Mus musculus: one gene and its partners. The protein of the gene in region 1 purifies or fractionates together with the protein of each later gene. This does not show direct contact. Links are inferred from orthologs where the notes say so. Each region holds a gene or a part of one and is shown in the gene's direction. Other genes may lie near its edges. The genes, in order: Rad9a, Rfc5, Clspn and Hus1b.

The links.
Region 2: the proteins of Rad9a (region 1) and Rfc5 purify together in Homo sapiens (affinity purification with mass spectrometry; 3 studies listed by BioGRID and IntAct, with this or other methods). This does not show direct contact. The link is inferred for Mus musculus from reciprocal best matches to the Homo sapiens genes RAD9A and RFC5.
Region 3: the proteins of Rad9a (region 1) and Clspn purify together in Homo sapiens (affinity purification with western blotting; 3 studies listed by BioGRID and IntAct, with this or other methods). This does not show direct contact. The link is inferred for Mus musculus from reciprocal best matches to the Homo sapiens genes RAD9A and CLSPN.
Region 4: the proteins of Rad9a (region 1) and Hus1b purify together in Homo sapiens (co-immunoprecipitation; 3 studies listed by BioGRID and IntAct, counting the BioPlex papers as one, with this or other methods). This does not show direct contact. The link is inferred for Mus musculus from reciprocal best matches to the Homo sapiens genes RAD9A and HUS1B.

What each region holds. Positions count from the first base shown.
Region 1 is NC_000085.6:4,198,590-4,202,810, reverse strand, and holds the start of Rad9a (cell cycle checkpoint control protein RAD9A), read left to right. Parts: upstream 1-1,207; 5' UTR 1,208-1,294; coding exon 1,295-1,328; intron 1,329-1,411; coding exon 1,412-1,482; intron 1,483-1,753; coding exon 1,754-1,882; intron 1,883-2,231; coding exon 2,232-2,346; intron 2,347-2,439; coding exon 2,440-2,539; intron 2,540-4,221. UniProt on the Homo sapiens protein: Component of the 9-1-1 cell-cycle checkpoint response complex that plays a major role in DNA repair. The 9-1-1 complex is recruited to DNA lesion upon damage by the RAD17-replication factor C (RFC) clamp loader complex.
Region 2 is NC_000071.6:117,386,070-117,390,517, reverse strand, and holds the start of Rfc5 (replication factor C subunit 5), read left to right. Parts: upstream 1-1,494; 5' UTR 1,495-1,539; coding exon 1,540-1,601; intron 1,602-2,584; coding exon 2,585-2,649; intron 2,650-3,659; coding exon 3,660-3,796; intron 3,797-4,448. UniProt on the Homo sapiens protein: Subunit of the replication factor C (RFC) complex which acts during elongation of primed DNA templates by DNA polymerases delta and epsilon, and is necessary for ATP-dependent loading of proliferating cell nuclear antigen (PCNA) onto primed DNA.
Region 3 is NC_000070.6:126,577,431-126,581,176, forward strand, and holds part of Clspn (claspin), read left to right. Parts: intron 1-182; coding exon 183-412; intron 413-892; coding exon 893-1,004; intron 1,005-3,529; coding exon 3,530-3,605; intron 3,606-3,746.
Region 4 is NC_000079.6:30,945,888-30,949,163, reverse strand, and holds Hus1b (checkpoint protein HUS1B), read left to right. Parts: upstream 1-1,402; 5' UTR 1,403-1,489; coding exon 1,490-2,320; 3' UTR 2,321-2,588; downstream 2,589-3,276.

The sequences.
Region 1 (4,221 bases):
GCGGGTCACTGAGGACTGTGTCTGGACAGTGAAAGGAGGACAGTGGAGACAGAAGGAGGGCCACTTTGCCATCTGTTTGGGAAATGAAGCAGCCAGAATCCACCGAAGACGTGAGCAAGTGAGGAGGAGAGGATGCTGGTAATCCCCTAACTCCCAGTCTAACAGAGAACTGGACACCTCTGCGTTGTATGCAGCTTGCCTTGGATGTGGAAAGGGAAAGCCGCCTCCTCCCCGGAGGCTCTAGGAAAGAAGCACTTGGAGAGGGAGAGGAGCCTAGAAAAACAAAGAGGGGCTAGGTAACAAACACACCCTCCCCACTACCCACAGGCCCGCAGGGGGATGGGCAAGGGTTGCTCTAGGCATTTGAACTACCTCCCAGAGCAAGGTGAATGCGTCCCAGCTGAAAATCTTCATCCTTCCACACTGTCTGGGTAATTGGTAAAATGTACATAAACCAAACCCCGCGTAGTACTTAAGCCTTCCCAGGGCTTCCCAGTTCATCCCTTCAGCTCTGCCTCCCCACCCCTTACCGCACAAGGCTCGGGACACCCCATTCACCCATATTCGCCTACCCCCATTGTGCTTCTGCTTCTGCCCCTCCTTCTGACAAGTCCATCCTTCCACCCTTTTCTGTCCCAGAACCTTCTCATCTTTCCATGTATTTACGAAGGTCAGTGAAGGATCCTGAAAGCAAAATGAACAGCCCCTTCTCATCGCTCTTGAAGCGAGTTACGTTTTTTGAGGGGAGCTGGTGGTTGCTGCCACAACAGAATCCCCAGCCCAGATTGAGCGCGGACTATCTTGATTTGACCCTGTAACCCCACACACTAAAGTTAGCGACCCGGGAGGGTCTACACTTCCCACGTTAGGGCTCTGGTCCAGAGCTCGATCCTTGGTGCAGACACCTTGCTCCTCCATCTAGTATGCCCTTCACCTATGCCCAGTGCAGCCCAGTGGAGCTGCAGAGCTCTGCAGGGTGTGCAGGGCTCGGGTTCGGGTGGGAGAATCAGACCTGAGGAAGGACACAGGAGCAAGCCCTCCGCAGTCACGTGACCCGGGCCACACCCAATGAACCGACTAGATCACGTGACACCGAGCTTAGGAACGTTTTTCTCACGTGACGGAGAAACCCCGGGTGAACCAATAAGGAAGCGGAGGCCAGGCCGGCAGCGGGGAGGGGACGGTGCGCGGGAAGGGAACTTTAGGCAGTCGTAGTAGCTGCTGGGACTCATTATATGTCCTATCCCGTCCCGGTTCGTGTGCAAAACAAGCTCGATTTTTGTGCTTATGTACTATGAAGTGCCTGATCACCGGGGGCAACGTGAAGGGTAAGTTTGGACCTACCTTGCAGCAGACCACGTGAGCAAGCCCCAGGAGTCCCCCTAACCACTTTCTGTTCTCCTCCCCGCAGTGCTGGGCAAGGCTGTCCATTCGCTATCCCGAATCGGGGACGAGCTCTATCTGGAACCCTTGAAGGACGGGGTAAGGGACTGGGACGCAGGGATGGGGGCGGATTCAATGGTGAATGGGGAGCCTAGGCTTGGTGTTCATTCGGCCTTACAGGGATGGTGGACAGATATTCCGGCGCAGTTTATTATCTCTTGGGTTGTTCGGACATCGGCTTGGGCCCAGTCTTCTGAGGCTGCATGTCTATACAGAGGGTACTTGCTCTTCCTAGAACGCCTAGTGGCAGGCAAGGTGGGGCTAAAGTAACTTAAGGGAAAAGCAATTTTGCCTGCTTTTTGTGTCTCAGCTCTCCCTACGGACTGTGAACTCGTCCCGTTCTGCCTATGCCTGCTTCCTTTTTGCCCCACTCTTCTTCCAGCAGTACCAGGCGGCTTCCCCTGGTCAGGACCTGCTGCGCTGTAAGATCCTGATGAAGGTAAGGGCCACCTGAAGCAGCTCCACAGCTGTGCCTCTGTGCCAGGTACTCAGTAAATGATGAGTTTGACTAGGGAGTTAGTCTCATATGGGAGCTATTCCATGCAACATGCAGTGAGGTAAAGATGTTTAGACCGTAGAGGGCTATCTAAGATCTGTGGAGAGGGTGGTGACATTGGTCAAGAAAAGGTTAGTGGCCCTTCCCAGCAAAGAGACCAGCATGGGCAAGGCAGCATGGGAGTGTGCAGACACCACAGCTTTGTGGGGCCAGTGATGGGGCCAGGGCCTACATGGGATGTAGAGCTGGGCCGTGGAAGCAGTGTGCCAGACTGATGTCCTACCCTGCCCAGGCCTTCCTGTCCGTCTTCCGCTCTCTGGCAATTGTGGAGAAGTCTGTGGAGAAGTGCTGTATCTCCCTCAGTGGCAGCCACAGCCACCTGGTGGTCCAGCTCCACTGCAAGTATGGTGAGCAAGCGGCCTGCCCAAAGAGTTCCTCTGTGGGTGTGGAGGCAGTGGCAGTGGAGGTTGCCAAGCCCTGAGACCATTTCCCTTATCCAGGGGTCAAGAAGACACACAACCTCTCCTTCCAGGACTGTGAGTCCCTGCAGGCTGTCTTCGACCCAGCCTCATGCCCTCACTTATTGCGCACCCCAGCACGGTAAGCACCCCTGCTTCAAACTTCGCCTGAGTCTCTCCTACCTTTAGGGCTTTAATGTCATTCTAGGAATGCTCCATTTTCAGCAGGCCTGGCTAGCCTATGCCTGTCATCGTAGCAGTTCTTAGATTGAGGTGGGAGGATCAGAAGTTTCTAGGAAACTTCACTGGGAAGGCCATTGAGTTTCTAGGTAGCCTAAGCAGTGAGACTCTTTCTCAAAAAAAGGGTGCATGTGCTGGCGAGATAACTCAGTAAAATGGTTGACGTGCAAGCCTGAAGGCCTGGTTTTGAGTCCCACTTATATAAAAATGTGTATTAATTGGGTGGTGGTGGTGGTGGATGCCTTTAGTCCCAGCACTTAGGAGGCAGAGGCAGGCAGATCTCTGTGAGGCCAGCCTGGTCAACAGAGCAAGTTCCAGGACAGGCAGGGCTACAGAGAGAAACCCTGTCTTTAAAAAAAAAAAGTGTGTGTGTTGGGGGGGGGGCACAAAACCAAACCCCCAGATGGACAGCCCTGAGACGCAGCATCACTGAGCACATCTTCCGGCTTCTGCCCGTGCATGTTCACAGTTCACACAAAACACAAAAGCACCTTTGTCTTTGGGGGCAGGAGGGACGGGGACTCAGGGTTTCTATGTCGAGGCCACACAACTCAGTACATATTTGGACCCTTACCTTGCTCTTCAAAAGCAGGAGCTGCTGCCTCTCTGTCATTTCCACTGACTGTGGGGTCCTGCCATCTGTATCCCAGAGGCCTGCTCCAACTGCTTTTCTAGAGAGCCTATGACCTGCCTGCAGCTCTCTTGTATGACCTGGAAAACCCTGAAGGCCTGTCCTGGACCCTGTGTTATAGAGTTCAAAGCACTCTGACCTCTCATTCTTCTGGTAGTATTCCCCCTTCTGGTGGCTTCTTCCTAATTGCCAGGGCTCTAGACTTTGGGCCAAAAGAACCTGGGCAAGGAGGCTGGAGTCTAGGAGGGCTGCTGCACAGCCCACCAGTCAGTATCAAGACACAGCGTGGCAAGGGGAATGTGCTTCCAGCAGAGACTAAGGTCACTCAAGATAAGCCCAGGATGCAGTGGACTCTCCCCTGCCTGTGCGGGACACTGTTTGCATCCAAGTAGCCCAAGGTCCCATTCATTTCTCAGAATAAAAGTCCCTTCAGTTCCCAAAGTTAGCTTCCCCAGGCAGGGTCTGTTAATAGTGGTAAGAGTTCCTTTTTGGAGGGGCTATTCCTTTTTTTCCCCCATAAATACTGGCAATAGAATCCAGGACCCTGTATTTGCTAGGTACTCTGTATCTCTGAGCTAAATTCCCAGCCCTAACTGCTTCTCTTTCTCACATACGGTTTCAAATATAGAAGTCAGTACGATAGCTCAGCAGTTAAGGCCGTTGCTTTAAGCCTGCCCAGTTGAGTTGTCAGGTTTTAAATCCTCAGAACCTACGTGGTAGAATGGACCCAGTGGGCTGTTGTCAGTCTCCACATGTGCACCAAGGCATCGCAACCGCACTTCTCTCCACAGCACACACACCCACACAAAATAATTTTTAAAAATTCAAATATAGATGCCAGCTGCCCCCACCCCCCACCCCATGCTAGGGAGAGAACCCAAAGACTGTGATCTTGAGGCAAAGCTAGGAGTTACTTTTCTGTAAATGTTCAGCAACATATATCCTTAGAGGTG
Region 2 (4,448 bases), on another chromosome or scaffold:
ATAGCTGCTTAGATAAAGACCTCTCTCCTAGTCTTTCTTAATCTGAGTACTCTAGTCTCCTCCCCCCACCCCTGCCCTCCAGGCAAGCCATGTGCAATTAAGGCAGAGTTGCACACAATAAATTATAGGGAGCCAGTGGATACTCAGGTGAGGGTCTTCCGTGAGGGGATGTAAACGGTCAAAAAGTCCAGCTAAGGTAATTCTTTTGTAAGTGGACACAGCTGAACTCCCCCAGATGGCAGCTGCTTGACTCCAAAGGTAGTTAAGTACACCACCAGGCTGGCCATGAGCTGGATATGCAGTCAAGGATGATCTTGCGATTCAAACGGCCAAGCTTGACAGCTAAGTTCGATTCCCAGGACGTCTGCATAAGAAAGAAGACCAACTCTTGAAAATTGATGCACATGGCCTCCACATGTGCAGCGAGGCACACACAAATTAATTAAAGTTAGTTTTCTTTCGAGTTTTTAAGACAGGGTCTCACTATGTAGCCCTAGCTGTCCTAGAGGCCACTCTGTAGACCTTGAACTCACAGAGATCCATCTGCTTCTGCCTCCCAAGTACTCGAATTAAAGGCATACCTGGCTCAAAGTAAAAGCTAAAGATGAAAATAAAATTGGTCACCAGGCAAACGGTGAAGCTCACATTTAATTAATCCCTGCACTTGGGAGGTAGAGGCAGGTGGATCTCTGGGTTTGAGGCTAACCTGGCCTACAGAGTGAGCTTCAGGATAGCCAAAGATACAGAGAGAAACCCTGTCTCAAAACTAATCAAATAAATAAATAAACAAACAAACAAATAAATAAATAAAATTGGTCTGTAATCCTCTTACTGTAGGAGAAAATGCATTTGTGTGTATAAAACACAAATGTTTGTATGTATTTATATGAATATATGTATGCATGTATGTGTATATATGTAACTGTATTTATGTGTATATATGATTGAATGTGTATGTTCTGTGTGTATATATATGTGTGTGATATACATGTATATGTGAGTATATATGTATGCATGTATGTATGTATGTATGCGTATTAACTGTGTATTTGTGTATACTTGTGTGTATGTATCTGTATGTGTATGTGAGTGCAGGCGTATATCTGTTTATATGTATGTGAATGGGGATGTATGTATATGTATATTTGTAACTGTGTGCATACCTGTATATGTACGTGTGTCTCTGTGTGTGTGTTGCTGGTTATGGAACCGAGGTTGCACTGACCACACACCTTGCTGCTCCTTGCGGCTTGCCCCTGCACTGACAGGATCGGGCCCTGGTGAGGCCCGCGGTGGCTCTGGCTTCAGCGCGCGGTCACCCTGGACCTCGTGCGAGGAGGCTGAGACAGCCGACTCAGGCGGTAACTCCGCTGCAGGCCGGCGCCTAGGGTTACCTAGCAACCAGCACCTTAGCAACGGGGAGGAGGCGGGCCGGGGGACGGAAGCCGGAAGCCGGAGGCGAAGCCTCGCGAGGGTTGGTTTGCGCGCGGACTCCGAGTGCGGCGGGTCAGTGGCAGGGACCCGCAGCATCTGTCAGTCATGACGGCGGCCGCGCCTTCGCAGCAGCGGCCCGCGGCGGCCCGGGCCCGGAACCTGCCCTGGTAGGAGCGGCCCCACATCCCGCTTCCCGCTCTTCCTCCTAGGAGCTTTGCAGATCCTTCCCCGCTCCCGGCCTTGGCGCCGCAGCCGCTCCTCCGCTTCCATACCTGAACGGGCTCTGAGCTCAGCTTAGCCATCCTCGGGGTCCTCGAGCATCGCCTCTGCGCTCCGATGACCCTAATAAATTGATCCTGGGTTTCTTTAGAAAGGTTCCGAGGACGGAGGAGTGGGTAGGCTTGGTTGGATTCGAACTCGTGTCCGAATTCAGCGCTTGCACTCTATCCCCTCTTTATTTGCGGGGGAGGGACCGTAGCAGCGCACCCTGGTGGAGGTCAGAGGACAACTTGCAGGGACCTGATCTTCCACCCAGGGCCCCAGCGCCTGCATTCTGAATGGCCCTACAGCACCTTAGCGGTGTTTTAAATGAAGCAAGCCTAGCCATGCTTTCATTTTCTTTTCTTCTGGTCTATCCTGAGGAGGAAGACTTGTCTCAGGCCACACGGTATTTAAATTCTCAGGACTGGAGTCACAGACCGTGTGGCCTTTTGAGTCTGGCTTCTCGAACTCAAGGGTTTTCTGTTCTGTAGCATGGTTCAGCACTCGATTCCCTCTTGAAAGCCACATCATAAGTGGATTGCCCGTTCTCTTGCTTATAGGTATTTGAGTATGAGTTCCGTTTGCGCAGTCTCAGCGCTGTTGGTGAGGGGCAAGGGGGAGCTGTCCTGCCCACTGGAGGATGTTAGCAACCTCCTGACTCCTACTCAACAGATGCTGCTAACACCCATTGCACAGTTAATACAGATAACTGGCCTGACCGATGTCCCCTGGGGGGACAGAACAACTCCTGGTTGTGAGAGCCAGTGCTCTGTTCAGACGCGAAGGGTTTCTCTTCCTCTGCTGCTTAGGATGTGAAGGGGCTTCTTTGCATGTAACAGAACATGGCTTGAGTATATAGATTGTAACTTAACGGTGAATCCTATTTCAGGGTTGAGAAGTACCGGCCACAGACCCTGGCCGATCTCATTTCTCACCAGGACATTCTGAGTACCAGTAAGTATCTGTCTGTTGCTGCTGTCCTTGTGGAGGGTTGGGTCCATTTCGTGATGACGATGTCTCTGCTGGGTGACCCTTAGAGGATGCTCTGAGCCTTTATAGAACCGGCCATGTGTCGCCTTCTCCATAGTGTACCAAACTGTCTCAAGATCTGTTTGGTTTTACTGTTTAGGTGTTTTGTTTACACATGAAAGTGTGTGCACCTTGTGTGCCTGGCTCCTCCAGAGGCCAGAAGAGGACCCTGGATCCTGTAGGCAGTTGTGAGCTGCTATGTAGGTGCTAGGAACCAAACCCAGATCCTCTGCAAGAGCACCCGGCTTAACTGAGGCACCTTCCCAATCCCCCCATGTCCCAAGAAGACAACACAGAAGAGGGATGGTTGATTTTGAAGAGGTTTTGGTTCACAGTGCTTGGCTCTGTTGACTCTAGACCCTTGGTGAGCACAACTTCGTGGCAGTGGGAGCACTCTGCTCCAAAGTGGACAGGAAGTAGAGAGCTAAAGGGGTGGGGGAGCAAGCAGTATGACCCTCAAAGGCACGAGTTTGGTGACCTGACTCCTCCAATGAGGCTGTGCCTCTAAACCAGTGGCTCTCAACCTTCCTAAAGATGTGGCCCTTTTAATACAGTTCCCCATGTTGTGGTGACCACCCCCCCCCACCATAAAATTATTTCATTGCTACTTAATAAATGGAATTTGGTACTGTTACAAATTATAATGTAAATAAATGTCTGATAGGCAGGGTATGTGTGCGATATGTAGCTCCTAAAAGTGTCGAGACAGGTTGAGAACTTCTGCTCTCAACTTAATAGACCCTCCCAAGATAGCTAGTGTGGAAGACAGATAGACAGACAGACAAACTGTGGTGTGACTTCAGGACTTCCCCTCCCTGTCTACTCCGACTAGGACACTGAAAAACTGAAGCATATCTGGATTTAGCATAACCAGGTCCTAAGGTGATTGTGTAGGACCCAGAGACTGACACATGTCACCCCTTCCTGTCCCTCAGTTCAGAAGTTCATCAGTGAAGACCGCCTGCCACACCTACTTCTCTATGGCCCTCCAGGGACAGGAAAGACATCCACCATCCTGGCCTGTGCCAAGCAACTGTACAAAGATAAAGAATTTGGCTCCATGGTCTTGGAGGTGAAGGAGACACTCTCACTCCACAACAGCTCAGACCTCCAGACACTTAACCTTTGTCCTTCTTTTATTCCCTGACCATCTGAGTCCTGGCTGTGTTTGACCAATGGGATCTTGTGTGTGTTTTGGGGGGAGTTGGGGGGTGTCAAAATGGGGGATACTGCTTAGACTTGCTAGGGCATTAACACCTGGCAGCCTCTACTTTCTGCGGGGCCAACTTAGAGGTTGTACCCTGCCCACACAGCCTGCTCTACCTGCCCACAGCTCTTGTTGAACCCCTTAAGATTTCGTGGTGATAATGAATACTGCATATCTCTTTAGTTTAGGCTAGTGGTTCTCAATCTTCCTAATGTTTCGACCTTTTAATACAGTTTGTTATGATGTGGTGACCCCCAACTATAAAATTATGTTCATTACTACTTCACAACTGTAATTTTGCTACTGTTATGAATTGTAGTACAGTTATCTGTTTTTTTGATAGTCTTAGGCAACCCGTGAAAAGGTCATTCGACACCCCTTGGGGTCAAAACCCACAGGTTGAGAACCACTGCTCGACAAACACCTTTAAAAATGTCTCTTCATCAGGATCTTCTTAGATTACTGCTCTGAGCCATGCTGTCTGTGAACTCTTGGGACCTTGGCTGACAACCTTAAT
Region 3 (3,746 bases), on another chromosome or scaffold:
CCTCTACCTTGTGGATTCTGGGAATGGAACTGAACGCCTCAGGCTTTGCAGCGAGCACCTTTCCCACTCAGCGGTCTTGCTGGCCACGTTCAGCTTCTAACCCTGGTGCTGGAAGTCAGGAGGTTTTTACCTGTCGTTTGTCTCTCCTCTGGGTAATTTCCGACACTTCACTGTACTCGTAGATTTTTAAACATTAGAAATCACCGCCATCGATATCAGGCTGTGAAGCCCCAGTTGCCACTGGCCAGCATGGACGAGAATGCCATGGACGCCAACATGGACGAGCTGCTGGATTTGTGCACTGGACAGTTTACATCTCAGCCTGAGGAGAAATGTCAACCAAGGAAGAATGACAAAAAAGAAAACATGGAGGAACTTTTGAATCTCTGCTCGGGCAAATTTCCTACTCAAGGTAAATGTTCTGCGAGAGTCCAGGTAGCACAGCGAGAATTCAGTCAGCTCATGTCACCGTCCCCGGAAAGAAGCTCTTGCCCCCTCTCTGTAAGTGCACAGAAAACAGGGATGGGATGGAATCCTGCCACTTCCTCACCTTTACAGTGACACTGTCAACTTAGGACTGCTTTAGCTTCAGCATCACAGTGTATAACTTAATCTCTCTACGGAGGTTAGAACAGTGTCTGGTGGGGAGTAAACGTTGCATGCTTGCTGAAACAGGAAGTGGGCTCTCTGAGGTAATTGGGTGTTCATTTTGTTCATGACTGTCTTCCTGGGGCTCAGCACACAGTAAATATGAGGAAGGATTTGTTGAAAGAATGGATGGTGAACTTTTCCACATCCCACCTAAGAACTGAATTGAGCTGGTGGGTACATAGATGGCCAGGAGAGCAGAGGTGGCGTTTCCTTCCTTACTGGCCTTTCCTTGTTGAGGTAGATGCCTCCCCGGTGGCCCCACTGGGGCTGAGGAGTCAGGAGAAGGAGAGCAGCACAGAAGATCCGATGGAAGAGGCACTTGCTCTTTGCTCCGGCTCTTTCCCAACAGACAGGTGAGTCTCAAAGGTTGTCGGGAACGCAGGAAGATGAAACCCTAGGATCCGCTGGCATAGTGATGCACACCTTTAATCCCAGCACTCTGGAGACAGAGGCAGGCGGATCTCTTGAGTTCCAGGACAGCCAGGGATACACCGAGAAAACAAAAGCAAAAAAACAACCAACTAAGCAATCCTAGGATCCGGTTCTCTGTGTTTAGCAACAAACTAAGTAACTTTGGGAAAGGCAGATCTTTTAAGGTGACTACAGTTTTTATATAAACTAAGTATTGGCAAAGATCAGGGAAACCTCTGCTTGTTCTTGGTGAGCTGCTAGGGAAACAAGTTCAGTGGTTTCTCAGAGCTGATAATAGAATTGCCATCTGATCCAGCAGCTCCACTTTGGCTCTAGAGAAGTCTGAGTGGTGGCACATGCCTGTTACCTCAAAAAGAACCTCAGAAAGCCTAGTGTGGTATGTGCTTAGAATCCAATAGTCTAGAAACAGGCAAGAAAATCAAGTTCAGGCCAGGTAAGTGGCTCAGTGTCAAATACTTGACACCAAGCCTAAAGACCTGAGTTCAATCCCTAGTGTCTAACGAGGTGGGAAAGAACCAACCTCTACAAGTTGACCTCTGGCCTCTTTATGTAGTATAGTAGTTATAACGTGTGTAGTTATAGATGCACATGCCTGTACATTCACACACAGTAAATAAATAAATGTATAAATAAATGAAGGCAAGAAGGGTGAGGTCAGCCCTGCTACTCCTTTCTTATACCTAAATGAATAAAACAGGTTTTTATAATTTGTGTTTAACATAATTTGATAATAGCCAAAATAAAGAGGAAGTGTGGCTGCTGACTTGTTAAGGTTATTGTTGCTGTGATAAAACACCACGAGAAAAAGCAAATTGGAAGGGCTGGAGAGATGGCTCAGTGTTTAAGAGCACTGACTGCTCTTCCAAAGGTTGTGAGTTCAAATCCCAGCAACCACATGATGGTTTACAACCATCTGTAATGAGATTGATGCCCTCTTCTGGTGTGTCTAAAGACAGCTACAGTGTACTCACCATATAATAAATAAATAAGTCTTTTTTTTTTTTTAAAGCAAATTGGGGAGGAAAGGGTTTATTTAGCTTACTCTTCCTCATCACTGTTCATCATCAAAAGAAATCAAGACAGAAACTTAAGCAGGGCAGGAATCTGAAGACAGGAGCTGATACAGAGGCCATGGAGGAGTGTGCATACTGACTAGCTCAACCTGCTTTCTTATAGAACCCAGGACCACCAGTCCAGGACCACCTCAGTGGGCTGGGCCCTCCTCCATCAGTCACTCATTAAGAAAATGCACTACAGGAGCTAGAGAGGTGGCTCAGTGGTTAAGAGCACTGGCTGCTCTTCCAAACAACCTGGGCTCGATTCCTGGCAACTGCATGGCAGCTCACAACTCTCTATAGCTAGGGTTCTAGAATCTGACATCTTCATGCAGACATATATGCCGGCAAAACACCAATGAGTGTAAAATAATACAGTGAAAAGAAAAAGAAAATGTCCTATACACTTGCGTACCACTCTGTCTTATGGAGGCATTTTCTCAATTGAGGCTCCCTCCTCCATGATTATAGCTTGTGTCAGGTTGACATAAAACTAGCCAGCACATCTGCTAAATAGAATTTATATGCATTACATGGCTTTAAAAGGAAGGAAATTTGTTTTTGTTATTTGAGACCAGGTCTTCCTATGCAGCCCATACTGGCCTGGAATTCACTGTTAGTTCAGGCTGACCTCAAACTAGTAATCCTCTGCTTCATCCACCAAGTGTGTACATCAAACCCAGCCAATAGGAGGGAAGTATGACACATGCTTCACCATGGAGGGACCGTGACGATATGCTAGGAACAAGAAACATTTGTCACTGAGGGACAAGTACTGTATAAGTCTGCCTATATAGTCACTGGAGTAAGCAGTTTGACAGAGACAGGAAATTAGATGGTGGCTGGAGAAAGAGAGGAAGATTTGTCTAATAGGCGTAGAGTTTTTACTACCTGAAGGACTTCGGAGGTTGCTTATATAATAGTCTCAACGTAATTTTTTCTGTTTTGTTTTGAGACTAGGTCTCATTCTGTAGCCCTGGCTGACCTGGACCTCACTCTATAGACCAGATTAGCCTCAAACTCACAGAGATCCTACTTCCTTCTGTCTCCCAAGTGCTGGAATGAAAGGCCTGGACCACTACACCCAGGGATGACTAGCCTTTCTAGTCAGTCCACTCTGAGCATCCTTATCTCTGCCTTATGAGGCTGTAATTACAGGTGGGCCACTCTGCCAAGCTGGCACTGATGCAGGTTCTGGGGTCAAAACTCCAGTTTTCACAGTAGCAGGGTAAATGCTTTAGCCCTCAGGCTCAAAACACCTTTTTAAAAAGACAAAATACCTCATTTCCCGCTTCTTAAAAGAAATTTCTGGTGCTGATGAGTGTCTTAAGTCCTTAGCTTGGCTGGCTGCTTGTGGTGTGCTTTCAGTAACTTAGTGTTTTGTCCTCTAGGGAGGAAGAGGGTGAAGAGGAGGAATTTGGAGACTTCCAGCTTGTTTCAAAGGAGAATGGATTTGCTAGTGACGAGGTGAGTGCAGAGAGAGTACAACCAAGCTCCACTCGGTGCTCCCCTGCCCTCGTTCTTGAGAACTGAGCTTAGCGTCTTACCAGAAGCAGTGTCCTGTGCTGAGGCGTGGGGACAGAACTTTATAAACCCTCTTGTTGCCTT
Region 4 (3,276 bases), on another chromosome or scaffold:
TTGGAATGAGAGTCAGGACTCATTTTGGGGCAGGAGTAAGATGAAGAAAGCAGTCAGATCTTGGTCTCTAAGACACCTTAGTCAGAGATCTGTGCCATCATCATCACTGCCTAGTTGAAAAAAGTGGAGCTGAGCAAACACTCTGCTGTACTAGATGAGTATAGAAGTTTGAGCTTCATCCTTTGTATTTCACATGGATCAGGACTCTAGGAGCACAAAAAAAAAAAAAGACAAATACATTTCACATACAAAGATTCAGTATTTTCTTAAGGGTAAAGAACATCATCAATAATATGAAAGCCAAATACTAACCTGGGCCATATTTACAGGGACAGAGGGCTAATGTTCTTGTCAGAGATTTTATTCTTTTGTTACCCATTTATTTATTTAAGATAAAAATCTCACCATGTAGCTTAGACTGGCCTAGAATGTAACCCTAACTTTCCTTAAACTTGTGATCCTTCCTCCTTGCCTCTGGGCCCCTGTGTTGGAATTATTGGAATGTGTCACCAGCCTGGTCTTATCAGAGATCTTAAAAATCAAGCAACAAACTCCACAAAAGGTCATGAATGTAAAATTCACATACATACATTGTAAGTTGAAGCCATGCTCTTCTACCTATCACATCACTACATACAACATAGATTGTTATATGATGCTGCTGATGAGAAGGTATGTTGATAGAAATTTCTTTGGGAAAGTTTGGTAACAGAAGAGTTTTAATATGTACATGCAATAACCAAGATTTCCCTTTAAACTTAACTCAAGTAAATACTGACAAAAGTAAATGTATTTTGTGTAATTCATTGTTATCCTAGGAATAGGTCAAAATTGGATCATGTAAATTCCTCTTATAGAATAATTATTTTTATCAATATACTGGAAAACTAGCCATGAAAATGATATAGACTTGCTAGCATGTGATAGTATGGAGTGATATCCATTATATGTGCATTTTAGGCACAAATGCCAGGTTATAAAATGTGTATCCAATTTATCACATTATTTATAAGACATGTAGTAACGTCTGCAAGTAATGTCTGGACTGAACAGGACTATAATATATATTTAGTATATGTATGCACCAAAATGTTTTAAAAGGGTTGGTTGTCTCAATGGTGCTGGTGATTTTAATTGTAGTCACACTATGTAGAGTGACCTTCTTATGAGCAGACCAGAAGCAGTGAAATATTCAAATAGGGCAGGTAGGTAGGAAGGTGAAGAGACAGTCCAAAGTGTGTCCCTGTAGCATCTGCCCTCGGTGGCCTCAGGTGTAAGTGGGCCTGCAGGTAGGTGGAACCCAAATGCAGGCAGTGCTGGGGCAGGAGGGAGGGGCAGTAGAGCGCACCCCAGTCTTGGTAGGTGAACTGGCTGTGTCCCAGGCCGGAAGGGTAAGCAGGCTACACTCCAGGCCGGAAGAGTGAACCAGCTGACTTCTCTGGCAGCGGGCTCCTCACAGCTCTCTCTACCACCGAGGTTTTGAGGCACCATGAGGTTTCGGGCCAGGATCACCAGCAAGCGTTTTATAGAGCTCTTCATTCAGGTCAGCAGCACCGTAGCAAAGCTGGCGAAGGTCTGTGTGCTCCGTGTGTGCCCTGACAGGCTGTACTTCTGTCCCATGGGGCTGCTGGGTGAGGCCCAGCTGTGGGGTGAGATGCGGCGCGATGTCTTCCACCACTTCTGCATGGAGGGTGCCTCGCAGGAGTTCAACGAGATCTGTCTTGAGCTGATGTCTGAGCATCTGGCCAGAGCCGTGAAGAATGCCGGCAATGCTTCATCCCTGAAGCTCCAGCTCACCAACAAGCAGCGCCCCTGCCTTACTTTGGTGGTGGAGCTGGCATCGTGCCCCGGCCACACCCGTGCTGTGGTCCACGATTTGCCTGTGAGGGTGCTTCCCAGAAGGCGATGGAAAGACTGCACAGAGCCCCATGTTCGGGGCTCTGATGTGAGTGTTTATCTGCCAGCTCTGAAGACCTTGAAGAACATGGTGGAAAGGATGGCAAACGTGGGCAGTCATGTGCTGGTGGAAGCAAACCTCAATGGCAGAATGAACTTGACTGTAGAAACTGATAGAGTGACTATTAAAAGCTATTTTAAAAATCTTGGAAATCCTCCAAATGCCGTTCTGTGTATGTCTCAAGGCAGAGACCCAGAAACCATGGTGCAAGTGCGGGTGGATAATAGGAAGCTTCTACAGTGTTTTGATGGACATCAGATAAACCCCACAATGGCCTTATGTAATATTTTGAGCAATACTCTGCTTCATCTTGTTTTGGTTCATGAAGATATTTCTCTTCAGTATTTTATTCCTGCTTCATGAATTTCAAGCAGCCTTGATTTTCTTTTTAAAAGAATTCTTAATTGAAGCACTTTCCAGAACTGAGACTTTGAGTTACTTGTGTTAAAAGCCTGCAACCCCATGGATTTGGTAGAGTGTTTATTTTGTTGAGTGCTTCCTTTGTAAACTGTTAAGAAACAGTTGGAGAAATAATTAAAAGTTCATGTGATTGTTTTTTTGGTTTTGACAGTTACATTATATTCAACTTAGTTGTTTTGGAAAAAAAGGATTATAATAAAATAATATAACTGAATCCTGAAACAATTATTGTATTATTTTATTATGAAATAAATTGTGAAGAGTGAGAAAATTCTCCTTTTAAAATAAACTAAGTATTTTGAGAGACTTAATGCGCTCAGTCTCTCTGAAAGGTCTGAGATGGATTTTGTATGTCCACCACAGATTCCGAGAGGCAAACAAGGGTCTTCTGAAGGTCCTCGGTAGGAGTCTTTACGTTACTGGTGAGTAGCCATTTCAGGGTTTAAACTCTCTGACAACTCTCTTCCTCACCTCGGAGTCAGACACTTGTTTGTTTGGTGACTATTTAAAGAAAGGTGAGAACTATTTGTAAACGCTATTTTGGGAAAGCTTCGGGATATTCAGGTTGTGTGTGTATATGTCTGTGCTGTAACACAGACATGCTTTCTGATTTCTATTGGTAAGCTCAAACACAATGACCCAGGCAACTTATAGAAAGGAGGGGTTTTTGCCTTATGGTTTTTAGAACAATAAGAATCCATTATGACAGGGAATCTTGGCAGCAGATGACAGTCATGGTACAGGAATAGCCAAGAGCTCAAACCCTAAACTTTGTGTAGGAAGCAGAGCTTTAACTGGGAATGACAGATGGCTTTTAAAACCCCAAAGCTTTCCCCTTGTGACATACTTCCTCTAGGAAGCTGTACCTCCTAAACCTTACCCAGACAGCACTACCAACT